Linked DNA regions of Rattus norvegicus. The main gene of each other region encodes a partner of the protein of the gene in region 3 in a complex. Links are inferred from orthologs where the notes say so. Each region holds a gene or a part of one and is shown on either strand. Other genes may lie near its edges. The genes, in order: Gipc2, Tom1, Myo6, Gipc1 and Clta.

Region 1 (4,178 bases), on a different chromosome or scaffold from region 3:
ATGCATATATACACACATGCATGCACATATATACTACATGTACATACACACATATATACACACTACATGAATGTACATATATACTCATGTAATGTACATACATATACACACATGCATGCATACACACACACACACACACACACACACACACACACACACACTACCCCCGCCACCTTTTCTTAAAGAGAGCCTAGAGTGGAGAAATTAGATGGTTTCAGATGAAAGATTGCTTCAGAGCTTATAGAAGTGAGGTGGCTAGAGTTTCTGATGCGGCATGGGGAACAGAGGGCACACACATCTCAGTGAATGTCTTCAGCTCTTTGAAGAACAGGACAGAGTTTCTCTTAGGATGTGAAACAATGGACTGAGGAGTGTTGAAAACCTAGGGGAGAAAGTGGGCCTCCCAAAAGGAGCCTGTCACAGAGAGGTACTGCGAGAATGGCTGAGGTACTTGACTTGACACTTGCAGAGGGAGAGAGCTCATTGCAGAGAGGGCAAGTTCGAGGAAGGATGGCTTCTACATAGGTTCCTATGGACAAAGTCTCTGGCTGGGGTTACCCAAATGTGGCTGAATGCTGCCTCTACTACAATGGTTTTTAGGTTAGCACACAAAGTTATGAGTTTGGTTATGGCATTTTCACACGTACAGGTCACTGTCGTCTGTTTCTGTGTCTCCTCCCCCACTGTTCTCCCTGGACCACCTTCCCCTGTCTACTTTCCTGTCTTATGGATTCTGTAACCTCCCACAGTTCCCTTTCTTTTTTTTGCATGTTCCCCGACACATGTAATCTACACATGAGAAGAAAAACAGGCAACAGTCTTCTTTTTGAGCCCGGCCTACTCTGTTTAACATAGTAATGTCCTCTTTCCATCTTTTCATTTCCCTGCAGATATTATAGTTGAGGGCCTTTCATCGTGGGTGTGTGTGAAGTGGGCTCACTCTGTAGGCCAGGCGAGTCTTCTAATCCTTGCAAGCATCCTGTCCCAGCCTTAACAGTGCTGGAATCACTGGCCTCAACCACCACACCCAGTTGAGCGCCCAGATTGTGAAAGGGAAAGCAAGGCTGACGTGAGAGACCTTTGTTAGCATCCCGGTCCCTTCATGGAAATCAATTCCTTTCACTCAGAGGAGGCTTGGGTTGACCCGGTAAGCTTGAGTCTAGAAGGGAGCTGACCCATTGTGCACAGCTTTCCTTCTGCCTGAGCAGGTAGCAGCCCGGCTCAGGTGCCCTGTCCTTCACAGGGAGGGGACCTGAAACCCGCGCCGCTAGGCGGAAGCGCTGCTGCCATTGGCCAAGCAGCCACTGTCACCTGCGCGGAGCCAGGCCCCCGAGCGCAAAGTCCGCTGTCCGAGGCCAGGGAGAGCCTGGTGGTCCACACCCTCGGATCTGCAAGATGCCGCTTGGGCTGCGTGGGAAGAAGAAGGCTGCCAAGTCCAAGGAGACCGCGAGGCTGGTGGAGGGCGAGAGGTCCGGTGGCAGCCAGGGTGTCCCCGGACCCCCAGCTCCGGCACGGAGGCTGGTGTTCCACGCACAGCTGGCGCACGGCAGCGCCACGGGCCGAGTGGAGGACTTCTCCAGCATCAGCGAGCTCTACGCCAAGATCGCAGGGGTGTTTGAGATCGCGCCGTCCGAGGTAAGCGCAGGGGGCACAGTCTGTTCGCCACCCAAGCCTGCGGCGCAGCACTTCCCGAGCCTCAAGTAGCCTGCTGGTGCTGGGTGGAGTCGGTCCCCAGAGCATCGGAGGGAAGAGTGTGTGGTGGTGGAAAGGCCAGTCCCGGGACCGGATGAAACTATCCGCTCAGATCCGGCTTGTGGGTCATTGGGGTCAAGGCGACTAGGCTTTCTTTTGTTAGGGAGTCTGCTGTAGACGTGCTCAGGTCTGGTCGTTCAGGATAGGATGTGCGCCAGCACCTTCCGGGACTCAGATCTGTTGCGACGAATGAATGCCTTCCACAGGACTTGGACTTTACTCTTAGGCTTTCTGTCAGAGAGCTGCATTGGGAGTCTAACCAGAGTTAAAGAGAAGGGGGAAAGTGTAAAGGGGAAGGACTTCCTGGTGGGTGCAACCTGAAGCCTACTTTGCTCACCCCTGGATGGCTCCAGGAAGAACTGCTTTGGTGATAATATATAAGAAATTTAAAACATGGGTTGTTATTCCAAGGGAAGGAACTCAGAAAATCATAGCAAACTATCTGACTAGCAAACGCAGCTTTCACGGAAGAGCTCAGCTACATTTTCCCAAGGTATCTTTGAAAAGAGACCAAGAAATGTAAGTAGATTGATAATATGATGCCTGAAACTGGAGTTGCCATAGGTCCTATCTTAGACGCATTAGTCTGTGAGGATTTTTGTGGGCCCTCGGCGCTTACACCGGTGTGAAGTAAATGTTTTAGAGCTGCAGTAAAAGCCGAAGACTCCGGAGTTCAAATCCCTGAACTCATCAGAAAAAACACACGGTGGTAACCCCAGCCTAGGGACAGGCTTGAACCAGCCTAGTCTACTCTGTATGTTTCAGGATTGTGAGAGAAGTTGTCTCAAACAAGCAAACAAACAAACACGGAGTCTAAGAAGCAATGTTCAGGACTCTGGCATTCCTACTCAGTGTCCCCCTGGCCTCTACAAGCAGTTGCACACATGAAAACGTTTTGTTCATTTTTGTGTGAGTGTGCGTGCTATTGCCAGGGCACACAAAATGTGCGTGTGTGCACACAAATGCATGGATATACGCACCGTCTCTTTTGGAGCTCAGGCTTTTGCCGTGGGCTTTCAGAACTGTAGATAGCAACTTCTTCTCAGAGCGGGCCTACGTACATCTGTTTTTTATTAATTTTTTGAGGGTTAAAAACATTGTCTTATGTGGGTGAGTGTTTTGTTTACACGTGTCTGTACAGACTCATCCCCTAGAAGTGGGATTACAGAGGGTGGTTAGCAGCCATGTGGGTGCTGGGAATCACACCAGAGCTGTCTGGAAGATCGGTCAGCACTCCTAACCATTGACCCATCTTTCCAACCCCAAGAAAGGAGTTTTAAAAGTGCTAGCCTTTGTTCTTTCAGGGTTCCCAGGCTCTAAGGACAAATCACAAGTCTTTTTGTGGATCATTTATTTTTAGTGTAGGATTGCCGTAACACGGTGTTTGTATAGGAGTGTTCAATTGAAGAGGAACTTTTAGAGTAACACTCGACTTTCACCGTCTCCAGGTGAGGTAGGTGGCAGGCTAACCAGATGTGGTTGACTGTGGAGCCACCAACATGCAGTAGCTGGGTAGCCTTGGCTAAGGTTGACTTCTGTCAGCATCAGCCACCTATCGGGCAGAGATAAAGGTTATCTCCCAACAAGGCTGTCCTTCAGACTGGAGGCGTCTGTATGTAAACCCAACAGGTTACACTGGATACGGTCAGGACTCTGAAAACTGTAATTAATACCACGGATATGGGCCAGGGAAACAAATGGCTGACCTGCAAAAGGCTGGACCTTGACCAAGGTCAGGTAGCTTGGTGGAAGAAAAGCAAGGCTGCTGTTTATACTCAAATTCTCTGGTTTCCAAGCTAGCAAGAGCCTTCGTGTAATACTGGGGAGCTTTAAACTCTCTTCTGTAACCGGGGACTGACTCCAGACTTAGTCTTTTTCATGGACAGCTTTCCTTATTGTGTGTGCATAAAGGATTCTGAGCTAAAGATACATGATTTTATCCAATATACTTAGCCCCTAAGAAGTGTTACTGTGTTCTTGCTTCGCACAGACGGAACCAGGGCTTTGAGGTTCAGATTCAAAATCATACATTGTTGCAGGATATTTGATCACACTGTGAACCCCAAGACTGTGTTTTAACTGAAAAAAAAAAACCTATTTCTAGCTGTGGTGGGGCTCAGCCTTAGCATACACTTTTAATCCCTCTGGCTGGAATACAGTCAGGCCCTGAGTACACTCCTTCAATCCCAAACAATGAAGGTAAAGTTAGTTTGTAGAAAGAAGCAGCCATGTTTGAAAGTGATACCTAATTGAGTGACAGACAAGGTGACAAATAAGAGAAAGATTTGACAGAATAGGATACGCCTACCTCTCTTCCCATAGGAAGAGAGAGGAAGGGGAAGCTACTTAAGAAGCAGTGCAGAGAATTAAATTCACATTTAGGACACGTGGTAAATGGCAGAGCCTCCGTGTAAGCCCCTTTTTCC
Region 2 (3,960 bases), on a different chromosome or scaffold from region 3:
CGAATAATAATTAAAGGCTGCATGTTGTAATGTACATACACCTTTAATTCCAACACCCCTGAGATCTGAGTTTGAAACCAGCCTTGGGAGACTGTGTCCAAAAAAACGGGATGCAGAGCATTGGCTTTTAATGTGACAAGGTCCTAGGATGAGCCCCAGCCCTGCCAAGAATGGAAGAGAGGAAGTGAGATGTCCCACGGTACTTGTTTAATCTCAAGAGATTAAATGTGAAAGAATCAATTCCTCGTAAGTTTCGATCTGACACATACAGGATTTTTAAAAATTACAAATTTAAAACATAATGCCTGGCACTGGAGAGGTGGCTCAGAGGATAAGAGCAATGACTGCTCTTCCAGAGGTCCTGAGTTCAATTTCCAGCAACCACCTGGTGGCTCACAACCATCTGTGATGGGCCAGTGCCCTCTTCTGGTGTGTCTGAAGACAGCAACAGTGCGTACTCATACATAAATAAATAAATCTAAAAAAAATTAAAAACATAATACAAAGATACAGCAAGGAAGAAGCAACCATCGCGGAATGCCTGTTGAGTGATTTTCATGTCATCTCAATACTCTGAAAGCATTACATTATGGATATTGGTCGTCCCACCACCACCTTTACAGATGAGGGGAACAGGTAAAGAAAAAGCACTTTTCTGGTTTCCCAAGAGCCAAGGTGGATGAGGTGGCTTACCAGGTAAAGGAACTTGCCACAGTATGTTCAGTTCATTCTCTGTCTCAAAGGAGCACAAACCCAGGTCCTTGCCTCCTCTTTGGCCACAAACGAGTGGCTCCTGGAGCAGGGAGACATCAAATAGAAATTTCGAGTCCGACTTGGACAGGAGGCTATCGTCCTTAGGGCTTGGTCCCCAAGACTAAAGGCTAAGATGCTAATATTTTCGTTATCTTGCGTAACCTGACCCAGGTCTTTCCTTGGCCAGAGACCCAGTTTCCGGATGTGAAGACTTCTAGGCTCCACTGCGGCGCACATAGAAGTTTCGGGGGCGTGGCTTAGGAGCCAGCTCTCCCAGGCCCCGCCCTGGTGTGGCGTCAGCCACTGCCGAGGGGCAGCCCGGTAGGGGGCGGGGCTCGTGGCTGCGCCCCAGAGCCCCCGCCTGCCGGCACCTCCCCGCGGGCCGGCCAGCGGGTCACGTGACGGGTCGGCGGCGCCGGCGGTTGCTGTCACCTGATTCTGGGAGCTGGTGGCAGTGGTAGCCGCGGCAATGGACTTTCTCCTGGGAAACCCGTTCAGTTCTCCCGTGGGACAGCGGATCGGTGAGTCCCGGGAGCCGCGTGCAGTCCCGCCCCTGTGTGCCGCTCTGGCCTCGACCCTGGGACCTGTCGGAGTCCACAGTCAGGGCTGGGAGGAGGGAGGCTAGGCTGCGAGGCTGGCGCGGCGCTCTGGGCTCCGCCTACCCTATGACTCCCACCTGATTGACAAGAGCACAGGCCAATCGGAATTCTTATATGGGGATTGATGCTTGATGTAACCAATAGGCAGGAGAAGGAGACAGTTCTGGGCGGATGTGGCTCAGCCAATGTGTGCGTGCTGGGGTCCAGAGTAGAGGGAGAAAGTTTGGGTTAAAGGGACTGCTGTGGTGAGAAGGCGTTGGGCCGCGCCACCGCTGGGCGCGCGCAGGCTTAGAGCCTCTCCCGGGCTGGCGGCGCCTGGGTCATTCGCCGCGTCACCCGCCGCTCACATTCCGAGACGCCGGGGTATCTAGGTTCGGCCGCGCCTCTGTCCCCATGGTCGGGAGACTCGGGTTTATGTGACGTCGCCTCCTTGATGGTCCTCGCCCATAGTTTAAGGATCATGGCATGGCCTTGCTGGACTTCTTTGATCATTAAATGCATTAATAAGCGCGAGGCATTGAGGATGTTTCCTGGCACATGGCTAACGCCTGTCATTGTCAACGAGGTACCGCCTACTGAAGCTGGAGCCCATGGGAAGATGCCGGCGCCCAGCATCTACTCTCGGGCGAAGGCCAGCTGGCGACATTTACCCAGGAATGGGTGGTCTGGGCGTGACACACATCCCCTTTATCTGACCGCATTGTGAAATTATTTTTGATGTTTTTTTTTCGCCGTTGGTCCAGCCTGGGAAGGCTGGATCTGAAAGCCAAGGCTTCCCCGAAGTCGTTAGTCCAGCTGTGTTGTAACCACCACTGCAGCTGTTAGTGGCTCTTTTGAGGTTCTCATCAGTTCTCTGCAGGGAACTCTGGCGCCTGGAGCCCAGGTGCTTCACAAAAACCCCACCATAAATCGTTGTTTGAGACCCGGAAAGAGAAGGCAGCCCTCTTCTCAGATGTCTTATGTAAAGACAAAGGCAAATTAGTCTGGCCTTCAAAGCCAGCCTGAAAGTCCAGAGACCTGGATAAGCTCATTTGGGTTTAAGATGCCGTTCAGTTCAAAGCTCAGCATCTCTTCCTGCCCTGAAAGTTTGCCTGCCTCGGGCAAAAAATACTCCTGGATAAGAGTGCTGCTACATCAGTACCTTGGAGCGCTGATTAAATCTCACTGCTGGACCCTCTCTGCCTTGGGGTTCATGTCAGAATAGGTTGGACCGATCCAAGACTCAGATGGGCAGGTGTAGGGTTCCCAGTCATGTTCTTTGCAGTTGGCTGGGAGAGCACACGTTTCGAAACCTCCCACCAGAAGCGGTGGCTCACATCTGTAATCCTACACCCAGGAGACTAAGACAGGAGGATTGCCACAAAGTCCCAGGCTAACTGGACTCTGAAATTCATTGCAGGGCAGCATAAGCTGCAGTGTAAGACCCTGTTTCAAACAAAACACCAGTCCATTCTGTCCCGTGGCCCTTCCCTTTACTGAGAGGAAGAGATCAAGTTCTACAGAAGGAAGGGGGTGAAGACTGAGGAACCCCCAAAATCCAGTGCAGTGCGATGAGATGGCAAAGCTGTAAAAGAGCCAGGGGTGGTGGAACAGCACTTAGGAGGCTGAAACAGGAAGATTTTGAGTTCAAGTCCAGCCTGGGCTACAGAGAGAGACCCTACCTTGAAGAACAACAGCAGTGTTCCATACTCTTCCGTGTGTCAAGATAGAAGCACTGGAGGTTGAGCCTGCGTTGGTTTTTTTGAGACAGGGTCTCTCAGTGTTGACCAGGTTGGTCAGGAGCTTCAGGCCTTAAGCAGTCCTCCCCCATCAGCTTCCAAGTGGCGAAGACCTGACTGGCTGTGATGATTGGTGGCCAGGTTTTAGCTGCTTGTATTCTTTATAGCCCAGGCCCCTCTTTGCTGCAGGAGTAAAGTGGTATCTTCTCAGGTCTGCTGACCTCCTGCCCTAAGAGTGGAGTGTTATAGGATTAACATCCTAGGGGATAGCAGTCGTTCAGTGGTGCTAATCAGGGCCCAGTGTCACTGGCCTCACAATTCACATACACCTTGACACTTGGCTGGTCTCACTGGAAATTTCTGCTGCTGTGAGGAGCTGGGCTCATGCCCGGAAGCACTGGGCACCACCTCCTCCCTGAGGCCGTGTCCCATCTCCTGACCCAATCTCTGCTCTTGTGTTCTGTCCTCAGTCTGCGTCCTGTAGGCACAAAACAGCTCTCACCTCAAGGGAAATCAGAGATACTTCATTCTATCCCCGGACCAAATATGAATTGCCATGACCCAAGAATACAGATTCGCATCACCCCAAATAACGTGGTCCAATGTGGAAATGGTTTCATGATATTTTTTGTAGTTGCAGAGAACAAAAGCAAGCCATAAACCAGACACTCAGGCTACAGCAAAGCATGAAAATCTAGGCTCCATGTCTCAGGTGCTAGCTGATGACATTACTAAGTTTGGGTTGGTAGACACTAGTTTTCTATTAACTTATTCCAAAAGGCGTTACCTGGTAGTCACAGAAATGTTAGGTCAGACACAAGATAAGCAATAAGTGGTTACTAAGGGTCTAAAGCAAGGTAATTTGTCTCAAGATCTGCAGCATTCCAACT
Region 3 (3,990 bases):
TAGGAAGATGTCTTAATCTTTATTATTATTTTTTTCTATTTCTTAAATTACAACTATCTGTTCATGGCTATGTGCCATGGTATATGTGTGGTAGTCAGAGGACAATTCACAGAAATTGTTTCTTATAAGACCCAGGGATCCGACTAAGGTCATCAGAGTTCCAGACAAGTGCTTTTACCCGCTGAGCATCTCCCAGGCCTGGCTATCTTAATCTTGAAGCATGTTTCCCTCCTAAGGTTCCATTTAACTGAATAACATTTAAGAGACAGCTAGGTTGTGTAGAGCAACAAGCTAGCTCATTTGAAGGACAAAAACTGAAGTTCCATCCTAAACGGTAACACATTGTAGCTCAGCTACAATGAAATCAGTGCAGGATTAGATTGCAGTGTTAATTCCTATAAACCCATCAAAATGAAAAGCACATAATACTTAATACATGCTGGAACCACACCAGAAATGATGCCGCAGCATTGGCTCACTGTTCAAGGCCTTGAGAAAGAAGACAGAATTCTCAATTAGTTCTAGACTCTATGCATGGCCTTATCACAGTTTATTCAGGATACCGACCTCTACTCTCCAGACCAGTTCTACAAAGGGTTCTCAATAGTTCACCAAACAAACGGAAATCAAGACAGCTTCTGGTGAAGGGAGTGAGAGGCTCTGCTGTCAGAAGGCTCTCGTGTGTACTGAGTCTGGACTTTGCCCCTCCAAAGCTACATGCAAGTATTAATTCTCTGAACCTCCATTTTCTCCTCTGTAAAAGAAAAGACCACCAACCTGGAAATTTATTTTGTAAATCAAACCTTAAGGTTTTTTGTGTGTGTCACACTGTTACTAAATCACCAGTTCGTAAACTGTTAACAAAGTATCTCTTTTTGGGAATCACTGTTCTATTGTGTGAGATTTATTTAAATTGCAATGTGTTCTTCAAACTTTTATGTTTAAATAAGATGTTTAATACAGGAAATGAAAACTCCAGTTCCCAGGGCCTCACACACACACAAGGCAAGGAACTTGCTGAATTACACTCCCAATCCTGTATGCTAAGAGGAGTTTTGAGTTCCAAGAGAAAGTTAAAAACTAGAGAATTTTTTTTAATGTGGAGTTCTTATGTATTTATTCAGACCTTACATGGTGGAAATCTTTAAAACCATCTAAAGGCCTTTCAAAACCCAGATACAGACCAGTTGTCTAAACAATAAATGATCCACCACAGACTCCAGGCAAAGTCACAACAGGATGAGAGAGGAGCCTTCAGCTTCTCTCTGATTTCCTGGCCACTGTTATTTTAAAACTTGATCGTGTAAACAGGGGAAAATCCCTTTCAGATAAGCCCCATGGAGTATAATTTGCATTTTTGTTTTTAATACTCTGTTGTAGTTTCTATTAAAAAAAATCATAGTTGTTCACTTTTTCTTGCTCATGTGTCTAGCTAAGTACTAAAGATCATATGTAAAATCTACACTACGTGGCTTTTTAACTGTATATTTAATCACAATACTCTTTTCTTAATGATAGTAGTCTGCCCCTGCCTTTTACAAGTAACGTTTGAAAACAAATGCAAAACTTGAAAGGAAGAGAAAAACAGGCAACAGACCACACACAAAAAATAAAAACACTACGGGCAGATGAACATCAGACTAAAATGATTCCTATTTACCACTGTGCATGTTTACTCCTGTGCAACTGCAAACACAGAAAATGAGTGGACATTTAAAAGTCAGTGAGCTGTTCTGAAGAACTTCATTGTTCCTGGCTCTTCCTCTGCCCCCCTTGGAGTATCTGTGGCTATTTCTAAAATTAATGCTAGAGGGCACTAAGGTAATTTTTTTTTTTCACTAAACATTTCCCAGTTGGAAAACTACAAGCCAGGATGTCTTGAAGTTGAGTTAATCTGTACAGAAATGCTGCTGTTCCGCGGCCAACCTTTGGACCATGACCACCCAGCTCAAGACTCAGATTTTATGGTGTTGCTGCTGAGCCTCAAGGGCTGTTAAAAGCCTCAAGCGGACTATATTCGAACATCGTGCAACTGTACCACGGGAGCAAACTAAAGTCTTATTCAACACGTATGAAATCAGAGCAGCAACTATGTAGCGCTCCAATAGTATCTGCACATTAGGATTTAAACAGCCCTGCTCTGCATACTTTATGTCAGATAAAATGTATCTCTGTGTAAAAGTTCCTGACAGATTATCTAAGAGTGGCCTTATCATTTTATTTCCTATTTAAAAAATACAATTCACAGCTAGAACGTTTTAATTAGTTTAAGACGTTTTGGAATTAAATAACGAAGTTATTTTCAGCAACACGTCCGTAAAACTCATACTCAAGATCCTAGACCGCTTAGAGACTAAAATTCCAGCTTTGTAGAATGCTACCATGGTCTTCGACACAGCTAAATTATTAATGGTATCATTTGATCTTCACTTCTGACAACAAACTAGTCTATGTAGAATTTTCACTGTTTCCAAAGGAGAAAACCATCTCTCAGTGTCCGGTGGGACTCGTCAGGTGACAGGAGCCCCGCCGGCCGGGGAAGGGGAAGCCAGAGCTCCGGTCCGCGCCGGGCAGAGAAGAGGCCAAGGCGGTGAGGACAGGCAGGCGGGCAGGAGTCCACACTCACCCCGAGCGAGGCAGGTGCGCGAGGGGTCGCGGCCGTGGAGAGGCTGCCGGACTGCGGGCGCGAAGGGCGAGCGCGACGCCGCGGCCGAGAGCGAGCACCGGAGACGACGGCGGCCGGGATACGCTTCCTGCTGGGACAGATACCGGATCGGTCTCCACCCGCCGGCCAGAGAGCCCAGCGGAGTGCCCAGCCAGGCGCGCACGTCACTGCGACGGAGCGCCCAGGGGGCGGAGGCGGGGGCCGGAGGCGGGACTTTGTGGGAGCGGGGCGGGGCGACTGGAGAAAGGGCGGGTCTGCGTTGGCAGGGGGCGGGGATAATCTAAGGGGAGGGGCTTTAGGGCAAGAGGCCTGAGAGGGGCGGGTCCTAGGCAGCCAGGAGGGTCGGACTCGCAATTCGTTGGGTCTCGGGAATGAAGGAGTGGAGGGACCTGGCCTCAAGGCAACGAGCTCCGGGGCGGCTAGGGAGGAGAGACCAAAGAGCTAGAGTTGAGAGAGGCGGGACCTCAGGACGCGCGTGGGATGGGGATGGGAGGGCGTCGAAGGAGTGCTGGGTAGGGGCGTGGCCTAATGGCGTGAGGCAAGATAAAGGCGGGACCTCAAGAGTTGGATAGGAGCAGAGAACCGAGGCTCTGACCGCATCCCGGCATCTCTGCAAGCAGCTAGCTGCCGGTGACCCCTCACGAAGTTCCCTTCTTCGCAGTGATAGTTGCTTCCAATGTCGCAGCGAGGGTCCACAGCAAAGAGTCAGTTAAGAAAAGTTGAGAGTGGGACGGGCGAATTGCGGAAGAATTCCCTTGCGGGGTTTAAGGGTGGCACAGCGGCCCATCCAAGCTGGTGCTTCCCACCTGCCTGCGTCAACTTCCTGTTCAGCCCTTGGAAGACTGGGCCACCGAAGAAAAGTTTTGCTTCCCTGTCTGGCCTCCCATGCTGAGCTCGTATTTACTTCTTATGGCCCCTTATTTCCACCCCGCCCCCTTTATTATTGTTTATTTGGACTCTTGAGAGTCTCTTCTGTGTAGCCATGCTATCCTGGAACTCGTCGTGTAGCCTGCCTTAGCCTCGAAGTAATGATAATCCTTGTGGGTTGGTTTTATAGAACTGAGCCAACTGCCCCCGCTTTATCTTTCTGGTTGTTTAATTTTATTGTCTTTATAAGGTCATATATGAGTCATCATTTTAAATTAAATATTACATTCCTATGCAAATTTGAGAACAAACATCTCCTTTACAAGGAAAGAGGTTAATACTAAAACAAAATAAGGGGCTGGCAAGATAGATCAGCCAGTGAGGGCTCTTACAGTCCATCCTGAAGCCGAGCATGGTTCAAGGAGAGAGCCAACTCCTCAAATTGTACTCTGACCCCA
Region 4 (4,234 bases), on a different chromosome or scaffold from region 3:
CACATATCTGTGTGTCCTATGTGTCTGCCTGGTGTCTGTGGAGGTCAGAAGAGAACACTGGACCTCTGGACTGGAGTTAAGAGATGGCCACCCGTCATGGGCACTTGGAACTGACCTGTGTGGTCTGCAAGAGCCACACCTCCTATAAACTGCTAAGCCCATCTCTTCAGTCCCAACATCCAGAAATTACCATTCTCATACCCAGACATATTCTAAGTTGCCCAAACTGGCTTTGAACACTTAACTCCTATCCAGTAGCCTGGAGAGGATTATGGGTACGTATCTACACTGGGCTGCCTTTCATCTATTTTCATATAAGAACCTGGTGACAAGGTCTTACGGTTTGAGCGAATGTGAAATCCTCCTGCCAGAAATTCCGTGCTGGCAGCCCTTTTTGTTTACATCGCTAATGTCTGCTCTGACAAGAAGTCACTGAACCTACTGGACAGGGAGGAGACCCCAGGCTGCCCGATGGACCACCGTAGGTCCCAGAGCTGGTAAGAGTAGGCTTAGGCAGAGAGAGGTGTCCTGAGCCTTTCACATAATTAGAATGGTGTCACCGGCCCGGGGGGCTCACTCACCAGATCCTCCACTGTGGCAGGGCCCCGGGATCGGAGCCGGAGGGTCCCTCGGCCAGTGCCCAGTTGTGGGCCTGAGCCAGGGTGACCACCTGATGAACGCTGGCTGATCATATCTGTAGAAGGCAAAGGTAGTGGGGAAAATCAGCCCACGGTAACACAGTACGCAGGCTTCACACAACCACCTCCCACCACCTTCAAAGTTCTGCAGGCTCCTTGGGTAGGGACTGGGTTCCAGCAAGGCAGGACTTTGCATGGATGGTGAGGGGCAGCTAGGGGCCAGACATAAAAGCAGCTGGAGAGAGAATGGAAGGTAGCTTCTATTTGAAGGAGTGAGGGTTGAGAAGGGTGAGTGTAACTGCTGAGTCTCAGATAAGCCCTTTCTACCCACATCAGGGGTGCCTCAGGCCCATTCCTGAGAGTTAGTGAAGCCAGGTAGAAACGGGGGGGGGGGGGGGGCGCCGGGCACAGGAGCCATACAAGGCAGCCAAGCCTCACTTCTCCAGGCTGAGGGGGCTGGCCAGGGTTGGGGGCACTCGGCTGGGCTAATGGCTCCTGGAAGTCGGGTGTGGGGGCGACTTCCTTCTGGCTGGGCTGTCAGCCAGCACTCAGTTCTAGGGTAGGGTGGGGCTGCCCCCACTCTGCACTGCAGGCTTGAGTGCCACCTGCTGGTGGTTCCCAGGACTACAATCTGTATTTCTTAAGAGCTCAAGGTCAGCCCGGTGGGTGGTCCAGGTTGCAAGAATGGCTCACCAAACGCCTTCCGAGGTTCGGTGAGTTTGAGGGTGAAGGTGCGGCCTCGGGGCAGCTCTTTGAGGAGCCTGGCAACCTCATAATGCCGACAGCCCAGCAGGCTCTGCCCGTTGATGGCTTCAATCATGTCACCCACGCTGATGAGCTGGATGTGGTCAATCACACTGCCTTCCTTGATGCGCTGTGGAGGGGCAGGCATCAACCCTGGAAGCTCCACTCTAGGTCCCATTAAAGACCCTGGCCACTGACTAAGGGTGTGCCACCCACCCGGGCACCTTAATGAAGGCATAGCCGGCCCCGTTGTCGGTGATGGTGAGCCCCAGAGCATCCTCAGACTTGAATACTTCCACCTCTTTGCGCTGCCCCTTGACATGGGCAAAGATGAAGTCCTCCAGCCCGATCTGGCCCCCCAGCAGCTTGTCCATATCCACTTTATGGGTGTTGAGGGTACAGAACATCACCTGCAGAGGTGGGGCAAGATGCTCATCCTTCCTCCCTGGGTCCCCTATCCCAGGGACTGGTAACACCCAAAGCCAAGGAGAGGTCCACTGGCACATCAAATGCTATGAGCAGGATTTCTGTCCTGGTAAAAGCTCAAGAGCTAGCTTGACATACAGAGATCACTCGATACTTACTGAGGGGTGAAGGGGGTCTAGACTCCCACCCAGCCTTCCTACCCATCTCCACTTGAATCTCAGTCCCACTGTTGCCCTCCCAGTGGCTTCTCAGCTTCTAGCTTGGAGTCATGCCTCCAGGGCACCCTGGAGAAATAGAAGCTGCTCCTAACACCCTCCCTCCCCCTCTTGAGGTCCCACAGTATTTGGGGCACAAGCTTCCCAATGCCTTGGAAACCCAGCTGCCACCTGTGGCTGTCATCCTCCAGGACACAGGCTACTTCAGACCTGATGGGAAATCAGTATCTGCAGACCCACAATTTACTAGATTACGAGCCTCGTAAGGCCCGTTGGGAAACCCCCCCCATACCTACTAGGGTACAAGTCTCTCAAGGCCTCATAGGAACTCAGTATCCTCCTGTAGCCACGCCTCCTAGGTTCAGGGGCTGCTGGCCAGCAAGGAACACGAGCCCCAGCTCACAGGAATACATGCCCAGGCCTGTGGCTTGCTCTTAAGGGACCGTGGTCCCACTGGTACCTCAGCAGCCGGTAGTCGGAAGGCCTCAGCGATCTTGCCGTACAGCTCCTTGACATTAGTGAAGCCCTCGATGCGGCCCGTGGGGCTGCCGTGGGCCAGCTGGGTATGGAACACGAGGCGAGGCCGGAGGGAAGCAGGAGGTGGGGGCAAACCCATCTGGGATTCCCCTGCTCCACTTCCACCCAGGGGCCCGGGCTCCCCGACGCCCAGCCCACTCCGGCTTGGCTCCGCCTCCTCATTTTCCACCAGAGGTGGTGCTTTTTTCCTTCGCCCCAGTCCCAGTGGCATGAGCAGCCAGAAGTGGGGACTTGGCCGGGAGACCTGCGAAAGGGAATCGGGCTTCACTCTCTGAGTACCAGCCTTGGGTGCCATCCATCACCACCACATGGTATCGACATCAACCAACATGGTTCTATTTTGCGAAGCAATGTTTCTTAACCCAGGGGCCTGGTGCTAGTCAAGTGCTCCACCACCGAACCCCACCGTGTCTGATCACGTGACTCAGGCTCCCAAGCACAGGGAGCCAGGACACCTCCAGCACATTGCGGCCTATATAACGTTGTGTTGCGTTTGCGTTCTGCTGAGGCTTTCATCGCCCCTGCTTGGCTGGCGCTTGTCCACAGAGCTGCAGCTCCTCCCGTACAGTGGAATCTGCTGTACACATTTAAAGCTATGCAAACTCTTCTTCCGCTGTATTGTCTGAAGAGTAACAACACAAGATTCTGTCCATGGTCAGCATAGGTACAAGGCTCTCTCCGAATCGGCCATTTTGGCCTTGTGCATGTGGACCCAAGCTACAAGTCTAGACTGCCTCTTACTTTTTAGTGTGAGGCAGTTATCTCTCAGTTGCTCAGCTGTCCTTGAACTTGCAATCCTCCTGCTTCAGACTGCAGAGTGGATGGGATTACAGGGAAATAGCAGGACATCTGCCTCACCCAAGTATTTTCTGTATACAGTGGATTCAATCTGGGCACCCAGAGCTGATGTGAACGAAGAGAGGTGACTCCAGATAGCTCCGATGCTGGGGTGCAGCTCAGTGGTGGAGCACGTGCTAATGAGGACCCGGTCTCATCCCAGCATCAGAATGAAGCCTCGCACTGCACAGTAATAATCCCCACAGAGATACCCATTACAACCCCACACCCGCTGCTCTGTGACCTCGTTCAATTCTCCTTCTGGATGAGGCATGAGGCCGTTGGTGCATCCTGCCCTGACCACACCCACTGGAGCAGACAACTGAAGGGAAGATAAAATGCTGGATGGCCCTTTACTTTCCATTTCTCTGAGAAGGCTCTCACTCTGTCGTCCAGGCTGGCCTAGAACTCACCAACTCTACCTCTGTTCATCTTGCAGTGTTGGAGCAGATGGAAACCACCAGACACAGTGTCTTTTCATTTTCTATCAGTTGCAGTCATTAATGCTCTGTGCAAAACCCAAGTTTGGGTCTGGTTTATGTAAAAGAAAAAAACAAACAAACAAACAAACAAAAAACCATGAGGAAAGATGCCCTTGTAAGAGCATCTTACAGAGCTGGAGAGAGAAGGACCCCCAAGGCTCAAAGCCCACCTAGCCTACCTAGTGAGCTCAGGCCAGTGAGAAATCCTGTCTCAAAACGCAAGGTGGAGGGCTGGCAAGATGGCCATCACCCCTGCAGGCCTGAGTTTAATCACCTGGGCCCAATGAAGGGAGAGTGCGCACTCTTGCAAGCTGTCGTCTGACCTTTACATGTGCACTGGGCTATGTGTACTTAC
Region 5 (3,510 bases), on a different chromosome or scaffold from region 3:
AGTCACCCCCATTTTTTGATCCTTCCCTGATTTGACTACAGTTGCTATACTTTTGAATTCTTTCCTAAAGTTTACCGTCTGGCTAGATGTTATTCAGTGACTGTTCCCCTGTGTGGTAAAATGGCTTCTGAAGTCTTAGGCTCTAGGCTTGGCTTTGCTCTGTGCTTATTAGCTTTGAAGGCAGCACATAATCTCCGAATATGTCCCTTACCCATCCAGCCTCAACTCTCCTGTCACCCACTTGTGTCCCGCTTTTCAACAGATAGCAACTAGTCTGCCTCCCTCCTGAGAGCGCAAGGACCCAGCTCAGTAATGTTGCGATGCAGGAGGCTCTCTGGTGGCTTGTAGGGTTCTCTTACTGCTTTAAGTAGTCCTTTAACAGTTACAAGCCCGCCTTCTATGTGACCTGACGTTCTACTCTTGTGAAAAACATTTCAGAAAGACTTGGGGGCACTGATGGATATAATTGTTTTGTGTTAAGGAGAGCAATGGTCCAACAGACAGTTACGCAGCCATTTCAGAAGTGGATCGGTTGCAGTCAGAGCCTGAAAGTATCCGTAAGTGGAGAGAAGAGCAGACAGAGCGCCTGGAAGCCCTCGGTAAGGAATTCCGCTTTGCTTTCAGGTGTCTGCTTACAGTAGAGTAGTTGACGAGAACTGTACTCTGATCCCCTTTAAGCTTGCATCGGCCATAGTGTCTCTGTTCAGTGTTGAGGAAGTTGTATTTCTCAGCCTAAAGGTCACAGGCCACTGGCAAGGATAGGCTTCATCAGCGGCTACTGCATGAAGAACTCGGGAGTGTAGGGAGGCGTCTTCTCCAGGAAGTGAAAGGCTCAGTTCAAGATTGCACCTTGCTGACTGGGTGCCTGGTTCCCGTCTTTCACTGTCATCATCTGAGGGAGTCAGTGATGCTGACTACAGCTGAGTGCTGTTGACAAGCATATGGGAACTTGAGGTACTGCTCATGTGAGCGACACTGACGGTTCACTTCTCATTTGAAAGATGGATCTACTGTTAGGAAATGTGTCCGTACCTTCCCATGCTGTGACAACATAGTGGACAGAATCAACTGAAGGAAGAAGGTTCAATTTGGCTCACAGTTTCAGACATAGCTGCTGGCTCTATTGCTTTCAGGTCTGGGAATAGAGAGACTTCCAGGCAGAACAGACAAAGGGCATCTGTTCGCCTCATAGCAGATAGGAAGCAGGGAAGTAAGGATGTCATACAGTTCAGAGGGACTCTCCACAGCCACCACTTCACCCAGCCTTTACCTCCCCTGTTACCACATCTCCCAGTGGTCCATTCAGTCATGGATCAGCCCATGGATTAGGTCGAGTCTCTTACAGTGCAGTCACTTCCAACAGATAGCACCATGAGCCTTTTTTTTAAAGTCCATAATTGAATTTGTGTGTGTGAATGTTGTAGCAGTGTCTTAGGGTTTCACTGCTGTGAACAGACACCATGACCAAGGCAACTCTTATAAGGAATTTAGTTGGGTCTGGCTTACAGGTTCAGAGGTTCAGTCCATTATCATCAAGGCGGGAGCATGGCAGTGTCCAGGCAGGCCTGGTGCAGGAGGAGCTGAGTTCTACATCTTCACCCAAAGGAAGCCAGGAACAGACTCAACATCCTAGGAGAAGCTAGGAGGAGGGTCTCCAAGCCCAGCCCCACAGTGACACACTTCCTCCAACAAGGCCACACCTTCTAATAGTGCAGCTCCCTGGGCCAAGCACATTCAAACCGTCACAAGCAGCATGTCTGTCTGTGTAGTGTGTCTGGTACCTGCAGAGGTCAGAAGAGGTTGTTGGATCCCCTGCACCTGGAGTTACAGATGGTTGTGACCCATAATGTGGATGCTGGTCTTCTGCAAATCAACAAGTGCTCTAAATTCCAGAATCTTCTCTCAGGCTGTCTACATGAGTCTTTTTAGGGGATCCTATCATTTCCAAATCATAACATGGACTTTTTTTCTTTACCTTATTATCCCTGTAAGGTAAGGGATCTTTTTGCATTTTAAAAAAGTATTTATTTTTTATGTGCATTGGTGGTTGTGACTGCATGTATGTCTCTGTGAGGGTGTTGGATGCCCTGGAACAGGAGTTTCAGATGATTGTAAGCCACCATGCGGGTGTTGGGAATTGAACCCAGGACCTCTGGAAGAGCAGCCAGTGCTCTTCCCTGCTGAGCCATCCCTCCGCCCCCCCCCCTTTTCATTTTTATGAATAAAGGTATTGAGGATCATAAGTAGATTACATTTGAAGCACACAGCTAAGGAGTGTGGTAAAAACAAGTTTGGGTTTGTCTGCTCTGCTGAGGCTCCACATTTACCCCACGAGCCACGTGGCTTTCTACGTGCATTTTGTGTACAGGGCCATCTAACTGGGCAGGCCAAGCCCTACCGTGGCATCAGCTTCTTGTTTCTCTGGCTGTCCTGGAACTTGATACTTCGATCAGACTGGCCTCAAATTTACAGAGAACCATCTGCCTCTGCTTTCCAGGTGCTGGGACTAAAGGTATATGATATCATGCCTAGCCCTAACAAAAATAATTATAATGATTGTTAGAATACATAGAAAGAATATAGTCCAATCAAAACACTTAAAAATTGTAAACATGTCAAGGTTCTATTTTGAGACCCAGGATTGGACTCAGGCCATCAGGCTTCTACCCCAGAACCATCTTGCCAGCCACAAAAGGGGTGTGATTGGGAAGTGATTCCAGTTTGCAGTTAGGTCAGGTAGTAGATTTTTATTTCCTTGAAGCTCACGTGGCCTCCTCAACTTCTGGAGTCTGATGGCAGAGTAGTTTATCCTCTGCCCTGTGTGTGCCATGGGCAGGACTGTCGGCAGTTCTCTGCCGGTATGTCAGAGGCTTTCGGGGGAGCTCATAGTATACAGTCTTGTGTGAGTGCCAGGCAACTTCCGGTGAGTTAAACAACAAAGAAGAGAGTCTGTAATAGCAGGACGCCTGGAGATGGCTCTAGACACAGCCTGGCCCAGGAGGTTAGTACGTGTCTGGCAAAGGGCAGATGCCCAGGAATACTCTGCTTCTTCAGGCCTTCCTTACTTGATGCCACCCTGCTTTCACTCTCCTTCTCCAAGGTGCTAATTACAGGTTGGGCTCTTACTCTGTGCTTGGAGACCTCTCTGGATTACTTGATGGTTATATAATCATGTGATTATTTCCAGGTTTGTGTACTGAAGTGAGTCAAGTGTGAGCTTGAGAGCAGACTGGGTCTTTGCTCGCCCCTTATCCATGGCAAGCTTACTCAGCTTTTTGAGGGCTTTTTCCTCCCTTACTGCTGAAAAGGAACCTAAAATTTATCTTCTTGGGAGTATTGTAAAGATTGAGGTCCATGAGAGGATGTCCCCAAGACCATGTTTAACTGTTAGCAATTCACATGTGCTGCTAGCAGTGATCATGCTTCCCTGCCTTTGTGACAGGTGGTCTTCAACCAACATCGTGCAAAACTACATTTAATCTAAAACTTGACTTTGGTGGCTAAGAGTAT

What was found.
Region 1: the proteins of Myo6 (region 3) and Gipc2 are in contact, whole or in part, in a crystal structure (PDB 5V6H), measured with the Mus musculus proteins. The link is inferred for Rattus norvegicus from reciprocal best matches to the Homo sapiens genes MYO6 and GIPC2. Residues at the interface, in NP_001034635.2 of Mus musculus: Ser1055, Lys1056, Trp1057, Lys1058, Tyr1059, Arg1084, Arg1085, Leu1086, Val1088, Tyr1089, Trp1092, Lys1093, Asn1096; in NP_058563.1 of Mus musculus: Glu255, Leu256, Tyr257, Met258, Gly259, Ile260, Asp262, Asp264, Leu265, Thr268, Thr289, Leu290, Asp292, Phe293, Ala294, Pro296.
Region 2: the proteins of Myo6 (region 3) and Tom1 are in contact, whole or in part, in a crystal structure (PDB 6J56), measured with the Homo sapiens proteins. The link is inferred for Rattus norvegicus from reciprocal best matches to the Homo sapiens genes MYO6 and TOM1. Residues at the interface, in NP_001355794.1 of Homo sapiens: Ile1182, Phe1184, Trp1202, Gln1214, Glu1216, His1218, Asp1220, Lys1221, Pro1222, Ile1224, Leu1226, Glu1234, Met1235, Cys1236, Leu1238, Glu1242, Thr1243, Gly1244, Leu1245, Arg1247; in NP_005479.1 of Homo sapiens: Ser440, Glu441, Phe443, Phe446, Leu447, Arg450, Ala451, Ala453, Ala454, Asp455, Leu457, Pro458, Asn459, Leu460, Ser461.
Region 4: the proteins of Myo6 (region 3) and Gipc1 are in contact, whole or in part, in a crystal structure (PDB 5V6E), measured with the Mus musculus proteins. The link is inferred for Rattus norvegicus from reciprocal best matches to the Homo sapiens genes MYO6 and GIPC1. Residues at the interface, in NP_001034635.2 of Mus musculus: Ser1055, Lys1056, Trp1057, Lys1058, Tyr1059, Ala1060, Arg1084, Arg1085, Leu1086, Val1088, Tyr1089, Trp1092, Lys1093, Asn1096; in NP_061241.1 of Mus musculus: Glu273, Ser274, Tyr275, Met276, Gly277, Ile278, Arg279, Asp280, Glu282, Leu283, Thr286, Asp310, Phe311, Ala312, Pro314, Glu316.
Region 5: the proteins of Myo6 (region 3) and Clta are in contact, whole or in part, in an NMR structure (PDB 6E5N), measured with the Homo sapiens proteins. The link is inferred for Rattus norvegicus from reciprocal best matches to the Homo sapiens genes MYO6 and CLTA. Residues at the interface, in NP_001355794.1 of Homo sapiens: Met1053, Thr1054, Pro1055, Met1058, Ala1059, Met1062, Ser1087, Trp1089, Lys1090, Tyr1091, Glu1113, Arg1117, Leu1118, Val1120, Tyr1121, Trp1124, Asn1128; in NP_009027.1 of Homo sapiens: Glu47, Asn48, Glu50, Ala51, Phe52, Ile54, Leu55, Asp56, Gly57, Gly58, Ala59, Pro60, Gly61.

What each region holds. Positions count from the first base shown.
Region 1 is NC_086020.1:243,767,399-243,771,576, reverse strand, and holds the start of Gipc2 (PDZ domain-containing protein GIPC2), read left to right. Parts: upstream 1-1,377; 5' UTR 1,378-1,395; coding exon 1,396-1,635; intron 1,636-4,178.
Region 2 is NC_086037.1:13,410,093-13,414,052, forward strand, and holds the start of Tom1 (target of Myb1 membrane trafficking protein), read left to right. Parts: upstream 1-1,151; 5' UTR 1,152-1,222; coding exon 1,223-1,274; exon of another isoform or gene 1,275-3,960.
Region 3 is NC_086026.1:89,966,217-89,970,206, reverse strand, and holds the start of Myo6 (myosin VI), read right to left. Parts: upstream 2,811-3,990; 5' UTR 2,627-2,810; intron 1-2,626. UniProt on the Homo sapiens protein: Myosins are actin-based motor molecules with ATPase activity. Unconventional myosins serve in intracellular movements. Myosin 6 is a reverse-direction motor protein that moves towards the minus-end of actin filaments.
Region 4 is NC_086037.1:41,381,134-41,385,367, forward strand, and holds the start of Gipc1 (PDZ domain-containing protein GIPC1), read right to left. Parts: upstream 2,810-4,234; 5' UTR 2,772-2,809; coding exon 2,484-2,771; intron 1,793-2,483; coding exon 1,607-1,792; intron 1,513-1,606; coding exon 1,332-1,512; intron 695-1,331; coding exon 582-694; intron 1-581. UniProt on the Homo sapiens protein: May be involved in G protein-linked signaling.
Region 5 is NC_086023.1:63,047,714-63,051,223, forward strand, and holds part of Clta (clathrin light chain A), read left to right. Parts: intron 1-481; coding exon 482-599; intron 600-3,510. UniProt on the Homo sapiens protein: Clathrin is the major protein of the polyhedral coat of coated pits and vesicles.